Linked DNA regions of Arabidopsis thaliana. The protein of the gene in region 1 interacts with the protein of each later gene in a pairwise test. Each region holds a gene or a part of one and is shown in the gene's direction. Other genes may lie near its edges.

Region 1 (7,008 bases):
GAAATTCTGTAGAATTTAACATGAGTCAAGAATTAAGCAACAAGAGTTTCTTTGATATAGTCCTTCAAAAAAACACAGATCAAACATTTCAACGACAAAGTAATGGATGATGCTATACAAATGAACACAAAAATTGCAAATCAAGTATATCAAATTTGAGTGTCTTTCTATTTGAAAATACACATATCAATACATATGAACATAAAAACTCATACATTTGAAATCCCCATATACATAAACGAAACGAAAAGGCACGGATCGAGAGGCACAGTCGAAGCAATAAAGGAGATTAGAGTACCTGAATCAAAGCTGTGAAGACCGCGAAACAAACATAAAGGTCGATGATCTACAAAAACAGAGTTCAAACAAGAACATTCAGCGGATTTTTCAATTTCAATGATGATTCATAAAAGATCAGAACAAAATGATAATGGTGGACCTTGAGATTCGTTGGTGTAGCGGTATAAGCAGAGTGAAGAGAATGGAAGAGATCCTGAGCATCCTTACTAGTCGATTTCACCATTTCTTCAAAGACTGACCAACACAGGCACAGCAAGCAAACTTTTCTCCTGCTTCTTCTTTTTCTCTTCTTCACGAGTCTGGTGCTCTCGCTGAAATGACGTTGTTTCAGGATTTGCTGATTAAAACGGGCTGTCATTGTTTGGGGCCTTTGGGCCCAAGCCTTTTTAAGTCTGAACTTCGAAACGTCGCCGTTTTGTTATGAGATATTTTCTAAATTATGTTTTCCACAGTTTGTAAATGGACTACCACTCGAGCTTGTTCGAAAAATCTTTAGACGTTACTCGAGGGCTCAATATGAATTTGGCGATTAATTTAAAAATCGGAAATAAATATTTAGGGTTATTATAATGTTTTTAAAACATTTTAATCTAATATTGTTTTGAAAATGGTAGTAAACATAAAAATATATTTTTAAGACAACATTTTATGTTTTTAGTTAAAATTTTGTACATAAGTTGCTATAATTTATCATACTCTTAATGTACATGTTTGAATAAAAAAGAAGTTGTTTTATATTTAAAATCTTAAATAATCAAGATATACAAAATTAGGTACGAAATAATCGGATTAGATGGAAGGTAATTAGATAACTGATTTCTTCAAGAGATTAATCATTCAATAAGGCAGGCAGAGTGGATGTAACAATTAAAAACGGAATAATCGGAGATACACTGAAATTTTTAGAATAAACACAACTTTAACAAATTCAAAGAGAACGTTTGTAATTTCCTTGTACAGCGTAAGGAAAGTTTAGATAAAAGATGTATATAATATAATAATTGAATGCATACGTAAGAGATGAGTTTATTTTCAAATTTAACGTAACCGAACAAAATAAGTTTTCTTCTAAATTCCGTAACATATGTCCTAACCACTCAAACTAAAACAAAAATTAAATTTTTTTCTGGTCTGAAGTATTAAAACCACAATCTTGACAAAATTGAAAATTTATTTTTTATGATAACAATTTTATAAATTTATATTATTGGAGCGATATCTGACAAAACTAGTTTAAAACTGAAAAAATGTCTATGTAACTATAATAGAGTAGTTTACAACACATTTATTTACTTGTTTATACTTGATAGTGAAATTGGCCGTGTTTGACCGGGTCAGAATTGATAGGTGACGGTCCAGTTAGAATTGGGCTTTGACGTAAAAAAAAAAAATGTGTAACTTTGTTCTTTGCCTAAACGATTGGCTTTGTGTCCAAGAGTAGACCGCCGACTTAGATTTTTTCGCCGACGAGAGAATATATATAAATGGCTCGTCTTTTTCCAAACGATTTCTTCTTCTTCGTCGTCGCCGGTTTAGGGTTTCCGTTGCTGTAGCAATTTTCTCTCGCTTCTCTCTCCCCTTTTACAGTTTCTCTTATATTGCTCTTGCCTTGCGTCCAATCTCAAGAGTTCATAAGGTTAGTTTAAATTTGTCTTTATTGATATAATCTATGATTCTGTGAATTGGTGTGTTACATTTAGTCGAAATTGTTGTGAATTGTGTTGTTCTTGAGATGTTTTGGTGTCAATTGATGGTTTATTTGCATAATTTTATTAGGGGTTTCGCTGAAAAGCTGAAAAAGATTGCTATTACATAATTTGTTAAGAGTGAAAATGTCTCGTCTAAGCTTCTGTTGTTATGATTCATGTATTCACCTAAACAGAAGAGAGCTTGTCTCGACAGCTTTGATAGCCTGTTGTTATTTGTTGGTCTGTTTCTGTCTTTGAAGGTTAAATTTTTTGGCTTGTCTTACAGAGTTGACATTTGTGAACATCGAAGAAATACGGTGACGTTTCTTCTCTGATTACTTTTTGCCAACATGAATACTAATGTATTTATCAACAAGTGCTACAGCCTGGTAAGTCTCAAGCTTTCCGATGAGTTTACCGTTCTATCTAGTCCGGATTTGTATCTGCAGTTTTGCTTCTTTGTTCTGTCATGTTTGTTATAAGATCTTGCCTTCTGAGTAGCTGAACCTCTTTTTTCATCCTTGTGTAGGTTAGTTGTCACTTCTTTCCTTTCTTGTAATCTTTCTTATATTGTTTTTCCTATGATTTGTAAAGGGATTTTACTGGTATCGATTCGACAGTGTTGTTTCAATTGAAACATGATGCTTTGTAGGAAAACTCATGAATAACTGTTCATATAGTTGCTTTCTGTTGGTGTTTATAGCAGTGTCTTTTTGTTAAGTAGGTTATTGCATGATGAGAGTCTTTTCATTTTTATTTTATATACAGTCACTGCACTTTTTTCATATCTGATGCACACCTTTCTTCTTGCAGTTTTTTTCGAAGCTGTTGGTGAGTTCCCATCCTTAGTACTGCTAGACAGTTCGGTGTGTTAGTTGACTTTATATTCAAGGTTATAGGTTTAGTGTTGTTAGTAGAGAAAAATGGAAGCCAAAATCGTCAAGGTATCGGATAGTAGTTATAAAGATGGTCTTGGGAAGAAGAGAAAGCATCCAGGGAACTATACTCCTTATGATTCTGGAAGGTCATATGCAAAGCTGCAATGGGTGCTTTCACCCAACAGTTCCACCCAGAAGCTTGAGAAAAGGAGAAATTTGGATGGTGAAAACAAAGTTATTGTTTCTGAGAATCATGTTGAGAAGTCTTTGGTCAGATACTTCTCTTATTATAAGAAGACAGGAGTGCCAAAACGTGTAATGTTCCATGAGAATGGTGAATGGATTGATTTGCCTGATCATATTCTATGCGACATCAGGAATGATCTTGAAGCAAAGAGAGCTACAATTGAGTTCAATTGGTGCGGTCGCCATTTTCTCCTGGATTTCTTGCACATGTATCGACTAGACTTGGAAACAGGTGTAAAAACCCAGCTTGCTTGGATTGATATTGCTGGCAAATGCTTTTTCCCTGAAACTTTTGACACCCTCGAAAGGGACGGCTGCCATCATATCCGTGGGGAAGATCCGGAACAACATGATCAACGTGAGATCAAGCTGCACATTGAAATTGATGTAAATAGTGGGGAGTTACCGAGGCTGAATTTGAATGTGGTCACTGACGAGTCTGGTGACAATATGGATGATTTTCAAGCTGTTCAGAGATCCTCAAATGGGCCAAATGACGAGGCATCAGAGGATAGCTGCAGCCGTGAGCTTGATGATGCTGTTGAGAAATGGGACAAAACAGAAACTGATCGGTTCTCTGGTGTCAAGCCTGCTGAGGAGGAGCTTGATAAAGATGCTGTCAAACAAATGTTTGCTTTGGGTGCTGCCACTCTAGGGCATGTAGAGTCGCTTGATGTGTATCAGTTTTCAAGCGAGATTGCAAAGGCTCGTCTATCTCTTTTCCAGAAGCAAGCTGACATCACTAAGAAACACCGAGGAGATGCAAACATTAGATATGCATGGGTTCCTGCGAAGAAGGAAGTGTTATCTGCCGTGATGATGCATGGACTTGGAGTGGGTGGAGCATTCATTAAAAAGTCTATGTATGGTGTTGGGGTTCACGCTGCAAACTGCCCTTATTTCAGGTTTTTATTCGCCCTCTATGCCAGTTCCTCTCTCATTTAGCCTGCCTTATGCTATTTTTGTTTCACTTTATAGTTCATTTGTTTTATGGTTTTATCTAAGCACATGTGAAAGATATTGTTTACAGTGCTAGATACTGTGATATTGACGATAATGGTGTGCGGCACATGGTTTTGTGCCGCGTAATAATGGGGAATATGGAGCCTCTTCGTGGTGATAACACGCAGTACTTTACTGGTGGAGAAGAGTATGATAATGGGGTTGATGATGTTGAGAGTCCAAAGCATTACCTTATCTGGAACATGAATATGAACACTCACATTTACCCAGAATTTGTAGTTAGCTTCAAGCTGTCTATCCCCAATGCTGAAGGTGATTACCATTTGTTATTTCTCCTGTAATTTCCATAAAAATCAACTGATGACGCATTGAATGGGAGACAGCATATAGATCTTACTGAAGATCAGCTATTTGGATCCTGAAATCTTCCTCTATAAGTTAGAAAAGGATCCACATCACCTTGTGACCTCTGGGGGTGGTAAACATACTTCATCATCCCAAGGGTCCAGTGAGATATCCATGGCTAATATATATGGGTATTTCGATGATCACATTTGTTTTCTGTAGTATTCGAAACGGGATGACATGTTTTGTTTGTGCAGGGAATATTCTTCCTACTACTCAGAGTAGGCACGAGAGTTCGGGACTCACCTTGGAAGGACCCAAAGGTTCTCCCTCAAATGTAAGTTGAATTGTACCTGATCAGATTCTCATTTTCAAGCAGTCATTGTTAATATTTGATATGGACACAAACGAGTAATGTTGCTTGTTTGTATGAAGCAGGAGCCAGGAAGGGTATCAAATGGAGGTTCAGGGAGCGAAAAGAATAGCTCCAGCAGTAGAAGGCCCAGATCTCCTATAATGCCTTTCCCTCTGCTGTTCAAAGCAATCTCGAGCAAAATTGCTCGTAAAGACATGGATTTGATAATTGCTGGTTACCAGGAACTCAGGGTAAATAATATAAACCATGTCTTTTACCAATAGTCAAGGTTATCATATTGTATTAACATAATCGGTGTGCTCTTGCAGGAGAAGAAGGTGTCGAGAAAGGAATTTTATAAGACGCTGAGTATGATTGTAGGAGATGATGATCTGCTGATATCTACAATAACAGGCCTTCAAAGGAGTTTGGGTTAGATTAATGTGTCGACTTCTCTTTGCTGTCGTGAAACCTTAATAGTTTGGATTACGACAAACGTGACTTGATCTTTAGAAACTTAGTAGTAGTACTGTTATATTTACTCTTTTGGTGAAACTAGTCTCCATTATCCTGTTTTTCTTTACTTGGAATCAAAGAGTCTTTTATTGATCAACAGCCTTGGTTCTTTGTGAGGTTTAATTCATCAGCTGGAAGTTATTCAACAGCCTTAGTTTTAAAAAGCGCGCTAATGGCGTGCCATGGCGCATAGCGCACCGATGCTCTAAGAATAGGGCAACAAGACGTGGAGGCGAGGCGACATCTATAATGCGCACGCCATACGTGAGCCTTGGCCGATGCACAAGGTGGCAAAGCGATCGCCTCTTGTGTTCAGGCGAAAACTCTTCGAAACCAACAACAGAATTCTGTGATTTTAGGGTTTGCACGAAGAAATGACTAGGAGGAATAGGATAAACCATTTTCTAAACCTAGCTGGTTAATACATGATTCAATTTAGCTGGTCAATACCTAATCCACGACTAGAAAGTTTAACCATGAGTTATAATTAGCTTATCAAACCAAATCAATCCTAGGTTTATCTTAAACTAAAACGGATTTGACCCTTACCTCTTAACCCACGACATTTTAACCAGTTAGAAGATGTAAAATCCCTAATTTTTCTAAATAGAACACCATAGACGATATAAGCTTGAAGGCTAAAACCATATGCAGAGAATCTGTTAATAGAACACCACAGATCTAAAAAGCGCGCGCTTTGGTGAGCCATGGCACATAGCGCACTAAAGGACTCTCTGAGCCATGGTGCGCTTTGTGCCATTTAAAACTCAGATTGGTAGTCAATTCTCAAATTATCCAATATACAACTTCTTTAACAATTAAATACCATTGACAATGACAACAATAACAGAAAATTTCTTCAAGAGCATTCGTTTGTAGGAGAGAGCAAAAAGCATGTCTTGACACTGTTTATGTAAACTGTGGATGAGGTCCAGTGTCAGACGATGGATCCCATCCCGGCGGTTTTATATTGGGCCAATCGCCACGGCATCCCAAGCGTATGTACAAACTCTTCTTACCTTCAATATCATAAAAGACGCATTTAATCTCCAAAACATTTATCAGATTAAAGCATCAATTTACAAATGGGTTTCTTCTATTTATTACCTGGAAGTCCCTTGTCTGAGATGATCAGTTGCTTAAGTGCACTCAAGGAAGCCTGAGCCACGCTCTTTGCATGCGTCGGGTCCCAACCTTGGAGCTTCACCACAACGTCGGCGTTTGAATACCCAATCTCCCTCTCTTGCTTACTTCTCCTCGCTTCTTCTTTAGCTGACTCTTCATCTACATTCAGAACCAATCTTGAATGTATAAGCAGTGATTCTCGTTTTCTGTTCAGAAGGGTTCATTTTAAGTGGATGTAGAGAGAAATTGACCTGTGGCTTCAGTCTGTGATACCCAAACGGTAAATCCGGAGTAAAGATGTCTCCACTGATCAGCTCTCCCCGCAGCTCCATGTTTACCTCCCAAAGTTGAGACAACAGTACGCACATGGCTGCAAAGACATGGAGATCAGTGGCTAATCTTGGTAACTGGAAAGAGATTGAACACTAGACATGACTTTTTACCTGCTCAAGCTTTCCAATACCGAACTCTCTGCTTCAGCTACAGAATCCGGCCCTTCTGCAAGAATCCCTAAAATGAAGACAAACAAAAGGGTCCTGAGAAGTGAGGAAGATTCTTGTTAGATGATGACCATGATCCAAAAGCAAACTTA
Region 2 (5,470 bases), on another chromosome or scaffold:
GTGAACTTATTGTTGGAGAGTGATACAACTGACAACCCTGTCAAGTTTAGTAGGACATTGGGAAAGTTTCCACCGAGCTTGTTGAAAGAAACATCTAAGCGGGTCAGCTGGTTTAGATTGCCAAAAGAAGATGGGATTTCACCATAGAAATTGTTAACAGAAAGGTAGAGAACGATAAGTTGAGAAAGGTTGCCAATCGAAGATGGAATCTGACCCGAATATTTGTTATAAGAAAGGTGGAGATTGGTGAGATTAGAAAGACCTCCAATTGAAGACGGAAACTGACCAAAAAAACGATTACCAGAAAGACCTAGAAAGGTGAGATGAGAAAGATTACCAATTGAAGATGGAATCTGACCAAAAAAACGATTACCAGAAAGACCTAGAAAGGTGAGATGAGAAAGATTACCAATTGATGATGGAATCTGACCCGAAAACTGATTAAAAGAAAGGTCGAGAGAGGTGAGACGAGAAAGGTTTCCGATTGAATTCAGAATCTGACCCGAAAAACGATTATAAGAAAGGTCGAGAGAGGTGAGATGAGACAGATTTTCAATTGAAGACGTGATTTGACCTTCAAAATCATTATGTGAACGGTCTAGAGTGGTTAGGAAATGAAGGTTTCGAATACTGCTGTTGGAATGAAACCGGCCATGGAGGGAGCTGCAGCTAAGGTTGAGCTCGATCACTTCCCCGGACTTGGCATTGCACGTGACTCCCTCCCAATTACAACAGTCGCTGTTATTCCCCCATGACTCCGTCTTCCGATGAGATTCAATGCCAACCATCTTACAAGTAGGAGAAGGCTTCCCAATCTCAAACTCGTTTTTGAACTTGAGAAGTGCATCCTTTTGTTCGGGACGACACAAGTGCCTAGTAGGAGCCGCAAGCACGTCCGAAAAATGACAAATGAATAAGAAAGTAAAAGAAAGAGTAATACGAATGATACTCGTTGAGACCACCCAAGAGCCTTTCATCCTCCTTAATTTACGCTAGCTAGCTAGTCGAATTTTCTTGAATATTGATAAAAGAAAGTGGAGTTTGTGGTAGTAAATAAGATGGTTTCGTGCCCATCTCTTTATAGACATAGTAATAGATTCTACTCCACAAAGATAAATCCAACACAGCTTGACTCACATTATATAACCAGTCTTTCTACCAAGTGTTCTTCACGTTGAAACGAAAAGACTTAAAAGAGTCTTCATGTTGAATAGTCCATTTCCACACATTTTGTCTTTACTTTAATTACGTACAGGAAACTTCGAAAAGTTGTTTTCCCAACCAAATTGGACGACTTGTTACTATGTCTATAAGTCTGATATTATTAGTTCAGAGATGGATATTATCAATTTTGTGCATCAGTCTGAAAAACAAACTCGGGCTAAGGCCCAACAACATAGGAGGATAAAAATAAAACGCAGGCCCATTTGATCACATTCCACCGAACTCAGAAGAGTATAAGTATTCCCCTTTTTGAAAAGAAAGAACAGATAACGTAAGATCGGTTGTGTCTCGCCGCAATTTCTCTTCATACCGTCGTCAACATGTAACGTTCTGTAGTCCGCATGAAACCTTAGCAAATTCGCGAGCTTCGATTTCCAAATTATGGGGGTTTAGGCCGACCGATAATTGAAGACCGTGATGACGAGTTTGATTTTGTCTCATTGATAATGCGTGGACATTTGCTTTGTGTTTGATGATTACTGTTAGAGACTTAGAGTTATTGTACTTAGTAGAAGAGACTAATTGTAAATTAATTAATGCGAGCTTTGGAGTTCAAAAAACCTATAACTGAACTAGAATCTCGTTAATTATTTGTGTGTTTCTCTGATTTTATGCTTTCAGGATAAAACACTGTTTGATGTGCTTCGTATATTCTCTCTTAGAATGAAATGAATTCAGAAGAAAAGTTTGTGGGTGATGGTGATAATCATGGTTGTGATGTTGCTTTGTGTTTGTTTGATTACTTATTTTTTGGAATTTTGGATGTATATTATTCAATTTAATATACTGCCATACTAGAAAATAAATATTATAGATTATAAATCTACTTTTTTGGTTATAAATTATTCATAACATACTGTTAATTTGTTTTCCTCAAAATATCAGATTATTGTTCAAATATTGACTATAATCTTTAAAATGAGACTTTCTTAATAATTAAGTTTCATTATTTAAATATTTATTTCTTAAAATATTAGTATGGTTTTGTGATTCTTGAGTCTTAACATGTACATATTGTATTAAATATGTTTCTGTATGTGTTTATCAACTATAGTAAGGATTCCCATTGCTTACCCGTATTGAGAGCGTGTTTTTGTGTGGTGAAAATTTCAACACGTGTCGTCACTGGGGAATGTTATGATCCACAATTCGAATTAATAAGTGCCATGTCACTACTACTCTCATTAAAATATCAGAAATATCTAGACAAAGTTATAAATACCCTTTCGACCTCTTGATAATATCTGATTTCTGTAAAAAGTTTGTTGTCTTTACAAAAAGAAAAGAAAAAAGAGACGCTAGAAAGAACGCGAAAGCTTGCGAAGAAGATTTGCTTTTGATCGACTTAACACGAACAACAAACAACATCTGCGTGATAAAGAAGAGATTTTTGCCTAAATAAAGAAGAGATTCGACTCTAATCCTGGAGTTATCATTCACGATAGGTATGTTTGATTTCCAATTAATCTTTTCTGGGTTTGTCGATTTTTCGCTGAATTAGTCTCGAAGAGGGTTTTGGGTTTGATGAATTTTGGGTTTTAGATGTTTTCGTGTTCATTGATTTGTTCAAAATGTCATCCTTTTAGGTTTCGCTGTTTTTGAGAGAAATTTGGGAAATTTTCTAATTTAGCGTTTATTTTTTTTTACACGGTTTCTTTAATCTAAGACTCGGGTTAAAAAATTGGAAATTCTAATGCGATTTTTGCTTTTCTATTAATAAAGTAAAACTTGGTGAGCAAGTAAAACACCCTTGGTGCCCAAGTTGTTTCTGTTCCTCTTTATAACTATAAATTCCGTGACTCGATAATTTCTGTTTTCTGAAATTGAGAGGAAGAGACTGATTCAAAACCTTTTTTTTTCCTATCTTGTAGATTCTTAGATTGCGACTATAAAGAAGAAGATGGCTGTATATGAACAAACCGGAACCGAGCAGCCGAAGAAAAGGAAATCTAGGGCTCGAGCAGGTGGTTTAACGGTGGCTGATAGGCTAAAGAAGTGGAAAGAGTACAACGAGATTGTTGAAGCTTCGGCTGTTAAAGAAGGAGAGAAACCGAAACGCAAAGTTCCTGCGAAAGGGTCGAAGAAAGGTTGTATGAAGGGTAAAGGAGGACCAGATAATTCTCACTGTAGTTTTAGAGGAGTTAGACAAAGGATTTGGGGTAAATGGGTTGCAGAGATTCGAGAACCGAAAATAGGAACTAGACTTTGGCTTGGTACTTTTCCTACCGCGGAAAAAGCTGCTTCCGCTTATGATGAAGCGGCTACCGCTATGTACGGTTCATTGGCTCGTCTTAACTTCCCTCAGTCTGTTGGGTCTGAGTTTACTAGTACGTCTAGTCAATCTGAGGTGTGTACGGTTGAAAATAAGGCGGTTGTTTGTGGTGATGTTTGTGTGAAGCATGAAGATACTGATTGTGAATCTAATCCATTTAGTCAGATTTTAGATGTTAGAGAAGAGTCTTGTGGAACCAGGCCGGACAGTTGCACGGTTGGACATCAAGATATGAATTCTTCGCTGAATTACGATTTGCTGTTAGAGTTTGAGCAGCAGTATTGGGGCCAAGTTTTGCAGGAGAAAGAGAAACCGAAGCAGGAAGAAGAGGAGATACAGCAACAGCAACAGGAACAGCAACAGCAACAGCTGCAACCGGATTTGCTTACTGTTGCAGATTACGGTTGGCCTTGGTCTAATGATATTGTAAATGATCAGACTTCTTGGGATCCTAATGAGTGCTTTGATATTAATGAACTCCTTGGAGATTTGAATGAACCTGGTCCCCATCAGAGCCAAGACCAAAACCACGTAAATTCTGGTAGTTATGATTTGCATCCGCTTCATCTCGAGCCACACGATGGTCACGAGTTCAATGGTTTGAGTTCTCTGGATATTTGAGAGTTCTGAGGCAATGGTCCTACAAGACTACAACATAATCTTTGGATTGATCATAGGAGAAACAAGAAATAGGTGTTAATGATCTGATTCACAATGAAAAAATATTTAATAACTCTATAGTTTTTGTTCTTTCCTTGGATCATGAACTGTTGCTTCTCATCTATTGAGTTAATATAGCGAATAGCAGAGTTTCTCTCTTTCTTCTCTTTGTAGAACAATAAGTGTACGTAATTAACAAAAATTATAACCATAATTTACAATTACAGTTCTAAAAAAATCTTGAATTTAGAGAAAAGAATCATGGATAAAATAACTTGGCAAAGAAAAGCTCGTTCCAAGTATCTTGAAGACCAGGCAAGCACCAATGTATACAGTCTGAGTAGCTAGCCGGATTTGCTAGCTGCTCCTTCGTCAATGGGCTCCATTGCTTCTTGTAGATTGACGTGTGCGCGTCTTTCCGATAGCCAGAGAGTTGTGTAATGTTAAGTACCGTCACCGGAAACTCTGCTCTTTGGTCTAATTCCTCTCCTATCACTTTCATTAAGGTTTTGCTGCAGTCTGATGGCCAATGGTTCATGTCTTGGATCGGTGTCGTTTGATTGTAACAATTTTTTCCTTGTTCGCCTCCCCAATCCTCGCCCCTGATCATGGAGGTAGACAAATATGAAACCTTTGTATGCTAAATCTTAGTGTGGTTTCTAATTGCGGATCATGTTATAAGCCACATTTACTTAAACTATTAAAGATAAACCGGATCAATCTAAACTCCATTACTCATTTCATTCAATACCAAATCCGGACTACATTGTTCTAAGCCATATATCTCCTCTCTTTTTGGTTCCTGGTTTTGAATTTGAAGTGTTTATAGATAGTTAAATCACAGTAAAGTTCAAGAAGTTACTGACTTGTAATGAGTAGGAGACATGGTAGCAAAGAAAACCCTCGTCTTCAATGGATCCATATTCTTCTTCACCCATTTAACCATAGTCTTCAACGCCATTCTATAAGCATCTTCACTCTCCATCTCAACGATTCTCTTCTTCTCATCCTTGAAAGAACCTTCCCTTCAAATAACAAATCGAAAAAAATAATCAAATCATAAGTATTATACAGAAAAGTATTTGAGAACCTATACTTAAGAAACAATGACGAGAGCTTTAAATTTCATGATTGATAACATACAAGATCTTCATTTTGAAGCCAGTCCTCCACCACAAGTATGTGTTGAACACAACTATATCAGCCCCTCGCCAATGCCTACCGTGTTTGTTGATCGATCCTTTCCTCACAATTCGATCTGATACTCTATGAACTGTTGCGTTATCTGAATTCGATTCTAGAAGAAACGGTGCC
Region 3 (6,520 bases), on another chromosome or scaffold:
CAAATTCTATTTTATGATAAAGAAAACAAATAAAATATTTAACCCGTGGTATCCTAGTTATTAAACAAAATTATATGTCGACGACAAAAAATAAAAGAACCCAATTCTTGTTTGTTAATTTCTATTGTTTCACTTTTTCTACATAGAATTTTACTTTTAAAAAATTTCTTATTTCAAACTTGGTTCCTTTTCTCCATGGGATTCATCTATATATAAAAAGAGGTCCTAAATCTTTTGTAAGAGATATCTCGCATTAAGCTTTCTCTCTTTCTAGTGATTTAGGGCTTGGTTTTCTAGGGTTTTGCGAAGCAAAAGAAAACCTCCTTCTCAAGGTTTGTGTAGATGTATATATATATATATATATATATATATATACATATATATTTATGTATACGTGTGCGTGTGCAACACTTAAACTATTAAACTCACAATCTTTTGACTAATTATTATTCTTATTGTTATTTTTAGGGCAATTGACAAAAATAACATCAAAAAAGTTTTTCTTCCAAAATTAGCAGTACATTTCTAAAATTTCACAAATAGCACTATAAACTTCAATTAAACTTAATTAAAATATAAGATAGAAAGAAAAATGATAGCAAACACTAATTTAATATTAAATAAAATAAAAATTTTTAATAGTGGAAATATATACCCTAAATTGAAAATAAAGAACCCAAATATAATACTACAAACTAATATTAAAATAAATAAAAATCTCTTTTAATGGTGAAAATATATACCCTAAATTGGAAATATGGAACTCAAATATAATACCATAAACTAATATTAAAATGAATCAAAATATTTTTTAAATAGTTGAAATATATACCCTAAATTGGAAATAGAGAACCAAAATATAATATTTTAAATTTATTTCTAATTTATTTTGGTTGAATAGTTTTTCTATAAAAGTTGTGGTATTATTTAAAAAAATAAATTAGTGATAATACTTTTAGAACAAAAACTTCATAGTAAGTTAAGTAGTGCTATTTTTGAAAGTTCATGAAGTGTGTGCTATTATTATCAATAAAATTTGTTTTAGTGCTATTGTTAGAAATTTATCTATTTTTTTTTAATGTAGATGCAAGTGTTTATTATAGACGAAGATGGGAAAAAATATTGTGTCGAGGTTGAGAAGACAACTACTATCGCTGACATGAAAACGAAAATCTATGATGCTACGGGTATGGAAAATGCATACCAATACCTAGAACACCGTGGCAAGATAGTGCTTGAGGTCCATGGCGGAACCACCATGGATGACTACAAAATCAAAGCCTGTGACATTTTCCATATGAGCGATCGTATGCGTGGTGGGTAATTAGACCAATTTTTTAACAAAAAGAAGATGGTTTATGGTTCAATAATAATAATAATAATAATAAGATTTATTTTTGTAATTTTATTTTAATAATATTAATAATAAGAAGAGTCTCTCTTGAGTCTTGCCCATGTTTTATGGTTCAATAATAAGACTATTTACATTGATTGTATTTGTATTTGTGATGAAATTGATGATGTGAAAATAAAAAGTTGTATAATGTGTATTTTCTTCATCTCACGACTAAATGTATACAAAATCTGTGAAGAATAAGTTATTTCTTTTTTCTGGTTATAATGTGTTTTTTAAAAGCTCAATTTGAGTTATGAATTATTTGTAGCGTAAAAAAATTATTTTGAGTGAAAAAATGAGAAAAATATAATTAGGCATGCCTCAATATGAAGATTAAACACTGTTTAATAAGTACGTTTTTTTACTCTTGAATGAGAAGGGCCCAACACTGTAATTAGCAAACGCGTGTGAGGTCTGAAGTTCACTAAAGAGTAATATCACTATGTACCAATGGAAGACCTGATAATTAGTTTGACCAGTTGTCAACTGTACAAATGTTATTATTAACATATTCTAGACTATTTTATCATTTACAATTCCCTTATCTTTTTTATCAATTAACTGATAACTATGTTAACAAGATACCAAAATAGTTAATTTATATATCCAGAAAATATAAAAATTAAGAATACAAATGCATAAAATGTACAATTAACAAAATGTCACTGTTAACATAATATATCACAGAAATTATGAATTTATCGCGATATAATATGATTTAATACGGTATATTTATAAACTTATCGCGATACAATATAATTTAACATAATATATTTATAAACTTATCGCGATACAATATAGTTTAACATAATATATTTATAAACTTATCGCAATACAATATAGTTTAACATTGTATATTTATAAATTTATTAATATATATTTTGTTATCATGTTAACATACTAGTTATCAGTTAATTTATAATATATTTTTATTTATATATTTGATAAACAATATTATTTGAATTAAATAAAAGACGTTTGGTAATAATTTTTTTATATTGTTAAATAATTTATTATGAGTAAAAGGCTATTTTTGTCCAATTTATAAAAGTTGAGGAAAGAGAACTAATTCTATAAAAATTATAGGTATATTGTTAATTTTTAAGTTTTTTTGGGTTTATAAATTAATATAGACCCTCACACAATCCTATATAAACCCTACGACCGCAGCCCTTGACTCAGTTCTGGCTCGTCCTTCACGCCACTCTCTCCTATATCTCTCTCTCGCTCTCCTCCCCCTTTCCGCCGATCGTCCTTTCCCCACCGTCGAGTTTTTCCCTATCCATCTCCGGGTACGACTTTTTCTCTCTGTTTCTAATCCTACGCCGCGATGTTGTGGATGGTGATTTTCTGTGTTCCGATCTAGTCTTAGGTTTTCCTTTTGTAATTCCTGAAATGGGTTTTGATCTGATTTGAACCTTATCGATTTTCCGATTCATTTTTAGGGTTCTTCACTTTATCTATTGTAGTTTGGTTTCAAGTTGGTCGTCGGGTAGTTCAATTTTTCTTCTTTTGGTTTGTTTCAATGTCTCATTAGCAGGCTTTACGTTGCACACCAGATGTCTGTTGATCTCTGCAAGAAGAATCCATCTTTTCTTTGGTGTGACTGTGGTTATATGAGCAGGGGGAGGTTGTGGTGTTTTCAGATTATCCTCTTCAGGCACTGGACTTGACTTGTCTTCAATTCCTCGACTTCTCTCTCTTTCTTCTTCTCCTCTCTTCTTTCTCGTTTCTCTGTTTTTTTTTTCTGCTTGATTTGATCAAAGGGTATTCGTTTCTGCTGCTCCTGTTTACTGTGAACTTGAAGACTAAGTTTTCTTTGCTAAACTCTCACTTTACTGGTGAAGAGTTTACAGAAGATTGTTCAAAGTTTTCCCCTTTGGATTCTTCGCCAATGGGGAAAACTCAACTCGCTCCTGGATTTCGTTTCCATCCGACTGATGTTGAACTCGTGAGGTATTACTTGAAGAGGAAAATACTGGGGAAAAAGCTCCTTGTCGATGCTATTGCTGAAGTTGACATTTACAAGTTTGAACCCCCTGATTTACCTGGTATCCATTTCTAAAACACTCTTGTTCTGTTCATGTGTTTGCATCTAAGTTCTCTGACTCGGAGACTTGTTCTTTACAGATATGTCTTTTATAAGAAGTGGGGATCTTAAGTGGCACTTCTTCTGCCCCAGGGAAAAGAAGTATGCTAGTGGGGTAAGGGCAAACCGTGCAACTGAGTGTGGCTACTGGAAGACCACGGGGAAGGAGAGACCAGTTCTGTGCAATTCTGAGGTTGTGGGAAAGATCAAAACTCTGGTTTATCACTTTGGCAAGTCGCCTCGTGGGGAGCGGACTGATTGGGTTATGCATGAATACAGGCTTGACGACAAAGTACTGACGCAGATGAATGTTCCTCAGGTAATATATACTACTTATTATAAATGGCAAATATGATTTCAACTTGAACAGGTGTTTAGGTTTACGAGTATTTACTGATGATAGCTTGCCGTTTTAATTTGTTCCTTAATTGCTTTGATAGTGTGTTACTGTCCTGCCTGCAATTTTTTCCTTCTTCCACTTATATATTGTTTCCTGCTTGTTTAGTTTTATAGATTTATGTATCATCCATGTAAGCTTATATCACTCTCTCTTTACTTACAATTATGTTTTGGACTGCAGGATACTTATGTGGTGTGTGTTCTGTTCAAGAAAGATGGTCCTGGACCTAGAAATGGAGCTCAATATGGAGCTCCGTTTAAGGAAGAGGACTGGAGTGATGAGGAAGTACGTACTGATGTTCCTTCTACTAGTAATCCCACAAACCTTCTTGAGCCTAGCAAAGAAACCACTCTGGCTTTGACTGCCCCAGATGACTCCAATAAGGATTGTTTTGGTGGCATGATATCAGAGTCATGTGTCTCGGATTTCCTACCAGCTACAACTAATACCACCAGCGAGCTTCCACATCCAAGTGATGCAGCTACCACTCCTATGTCTACTGCACCTCTGGCAGAGACCGTTCAGACCCCCAACAATGATGACTTATATTCAATGTTGGATCTATTTGATGATGACGAAGAGTTCTTAGGGTTCAACAATAATGAGGTAGTTTTTTTTTGCATTCTTCTTCTTTGGCTTAGTATAGTGATAACAAGCCGGTGTCACTGCATGTTCTTAAGCTAGCAAGGCTACTTTAAAGCTGTTAAGTGTTTTAGTGGCATTGGAACGTAGTAGTTACCCATTAGACAAAGCTTCTTTGCTATATCTTCGATCTTAGTATCCAACATCAATATGTGCTCTTTTGTATCTGCTTGTTCTCCAACATCAATATGTGCTCTTTTGTATCTGCAAAATACATTCTCATATTTAATCAATCTACAGGTAAGATATGATCCCGGTGTCTCAGCTCCAGTTTGCTTAGAAGAAGAAGGCATTTTCAACGGACTACCAGAGTTGAGCAGCATGCCAAGGACGGCCTCTTACGACCTAGTTGAAAACTCGGAGTTATACCTAGAGCTACAAGACCTCACTGCTCCATTAAATCCCCAAACTGGGCTACAAGACCTCACTGCTCCATTTAATCCTCAAACTGGGCTACAAGACCTCACTGCTCCATTTAATCATCAAACTGGGCTACAAGACCACACTGCTCCATTTAATCCTCAAACTGGGCTACAAGACCACACTGCTCCATTTAATCATCAAACTGGGCTACAAGACCTCACTGCTCCATTTAATCCTCAAACTGGGCTACAAGACCTCACTGCTCCATTTAATCCTCAAACTGGGCTACATGACCTCACTTCTCCATTTAATCCTCAAACTGGGCTACAAGACCTCACTGCTCCATTAAATCCTCAAACTGGGAATCGCAATGACCCGAGAAGCTCCTCCTTTCTGTATAATCAAGGCCATTTTGACTTCTCTGGTGGTAATGATGATGATCCTTATGGCTTTTCTGCTTCCATGAGACATAGACCAAAAATGTAAAAAAAGAAGAAGAGAAGAGAAGCAGGATTTACAAATCCAACAGATGCAAATCAGACCGAATAGAAGGAGGAGCAAGCACCTTTGTTTCTTGTCTTTGAATTATGATTTTTATTAGTCAAAATCTTTTTAATGTGTCGAAACTTCCCTATCAACATTCTCTGTTTCATCCTTAGAATCTCGTATTTCTTCAGAGTATTCTCAACATTTATTCTTGTTTCTATTTTGCTATGGATTATTGTATATATACTTCTTCTGTCTAAATCATATCATTAATACTAAAAGGAATTTTAATGATGAATACTGAAAAACACAAAAACTAATCGGGAGGAACAAAAGTTCCAAGTAAAAACGAAGAATGAAAAAAGTAAATAAGAAGAAGAAAGTATCGTACCAGATTTAGGACCATAACAGATGATGTAGATGTAGGGCTTAAATGGGCTTCGTTTCGAATCCTATTTCGTTGGCCCAATATTTTAGCTTTCCCACCGCATCATTATTCATCATCTCGTGTATTAAAAAGCCGATTTGATCTCTTTCCACTAAAAACCTTGCTGACAAAGAATTCAATTTTGATTGTCGTCGATCGTACGGTATCTTGGGGGATTGATGGAGAACACAGACGTCGTCTCGGGTCTGCATAATTTCTTGAGTAAACCCTCCGCCAAAGATTTCATCAAATCAATCAAAAGGTTATCTCTCTCTCTCTCTCTCTCTCGCTTCTCTTCTTCGCTTTTTGTATACTTTAGGTTTATTTACTCTCTAGTTATGATTACATGTGTGCAAGATAAGATATCTTGCTGATTTCACATTGCTCTCTAGTAGTTATGAATAGTTTTTTTCGTTTTTGCGACAATGTTATGATATCGATGATTTGCTATAAACTTAAGCAGATTTTTGTTGTGATGGAAACATCACATGCCACTGGTTTTTTGAGTTGTGAACGTTTTTTGATGTTTTGCAGTTTCATTGTTTCGATCTTGAACACTGCACCAGACCCTGAAAAAGATTGTGATGCAGTTCAGGACTTCTTTTACAAGATGGAGTCTGCTTTCAGGGCTCATCCACTTTGGTCTGGTTGTTCCGATGATGAGTTAGACAATGCGGGAGATGTGAGTTATTCTTCTTCCCTTTTTCCTGCTTATCT

Evidence for each region.
Region 2: the proteins of SRO1 (region 1) and DREB2B interact in a two-hybrid assay, tested with the Arabidopsis thaliana proteins (one study listed by BioGRID).
Region 3: the proteins of SRO1 (region 1) and NAC082 interact in a two-hybrid assay, tested with the Arabidopsis thaliana proteins (one study listed by BioGRID).

Annotation. Positions count from the first base shown.
Region 1 is NC_003071.7:14,915,102-14,922,109, reverse strand, and holds SRO1 (uncharacterized protein), read left to right. Parts: upstream 1-1,627; 5' UTR 1,628-1,936; intron 1,937-2,274; 5' UTR 2,275-2,377; exon of another isoform or gene 2,378-2,517; intron 2,518-2,801; 5' UTR 2,802-2,911; coding exon 2,912-4,017; intron 4,018-4,142; coding exon 4,143-4,387; coding exon of another isoform or gene 4,388-4,416; exon of another isoform or gene 4,417-4,677; coding exon 4,678-4,757; intron 4,758-4,858; coding exon 4,859-5,026; intron 5,027-5,104; coding exon 5,105-5,212; 3' UTR 5,213-5,420; downstream 5,421-7,008. Other genes in the region: DAD2 (Defender against death (DAD family) protein), read right to left, coding at 299-346, 440-523; SKL2 (shikimate kinase like 2), read right to left, coding at 6,201-6,310, 6,399-6,575, 6,668-6,786, 6,860-6,926. UniProt on the Arabidopsis thaliana protein: Probable inactive ADP-ribosyltransferase that functions with RCD1 to regulate oxidative stress, hormonal and developmental responses. May regulate some stress-responsive genes. Seems to play a smaller developmental role than R.
Region 2 is NC_003074.8:3,452,885-3,458,354, forward strand, and holds DREB2B (DRE/CRT-binding protein 2B), read left to right. Parts: upstream 1-2,470; 5' UTR 2,471-2,669; intron 2,670-3,095; 5' UTR 3,096-3,124; coding exon 3,125-4,117; 3' UTR 4,118-4,415; downstream 4,416-5,470. Other genes in the region: RLP34 (receptor like protein 34), read right to left, coding at 1-977; TBL32 (TRICHOME BIREFRINGENCE-LIKE 32), read right to left, coding at 4,416-4,758, 5,023-5,181, 5,300-5,470. UniProt on the Arabidopsis thaliana protein: Transcriptional activator that binds specifically to the DNA sequence 5'-[AG]CCGAC-3'. Binding to the C-repeat/DRE element mediates high salinity- and dehydration-inducible transcription.
Region 3 is NC_003076.8:2,891,479-2,897,998, reverse strand, and holds NAC082 (NAC domain containing protein 82), read left to right. Parts: upstream 1-2,518; 5' UTR 2,519-2,688; exon of another isoform or gene 2,689-2,936; 5' UTR 2,937-3,290; coding exon 3,291-3,447; intron 3,448-3,526; coding exon 3,527-3,804; intron 3,805-4,065; coding exon 4,066-4,491; intron 4,492-4,767; coding exon 4,768-5,376; 3' UTR 5,377-5,661; downstream 5,662-6,520. Other genes in the region: AT5G09340 (Ubiquitin family protein), read left to right, coding at 1,085-1,324; VPS9B (vacuolar protein sorting-associated 9A-like protein), read left to right, coding at 5,983-6,065, 6,338-6,485.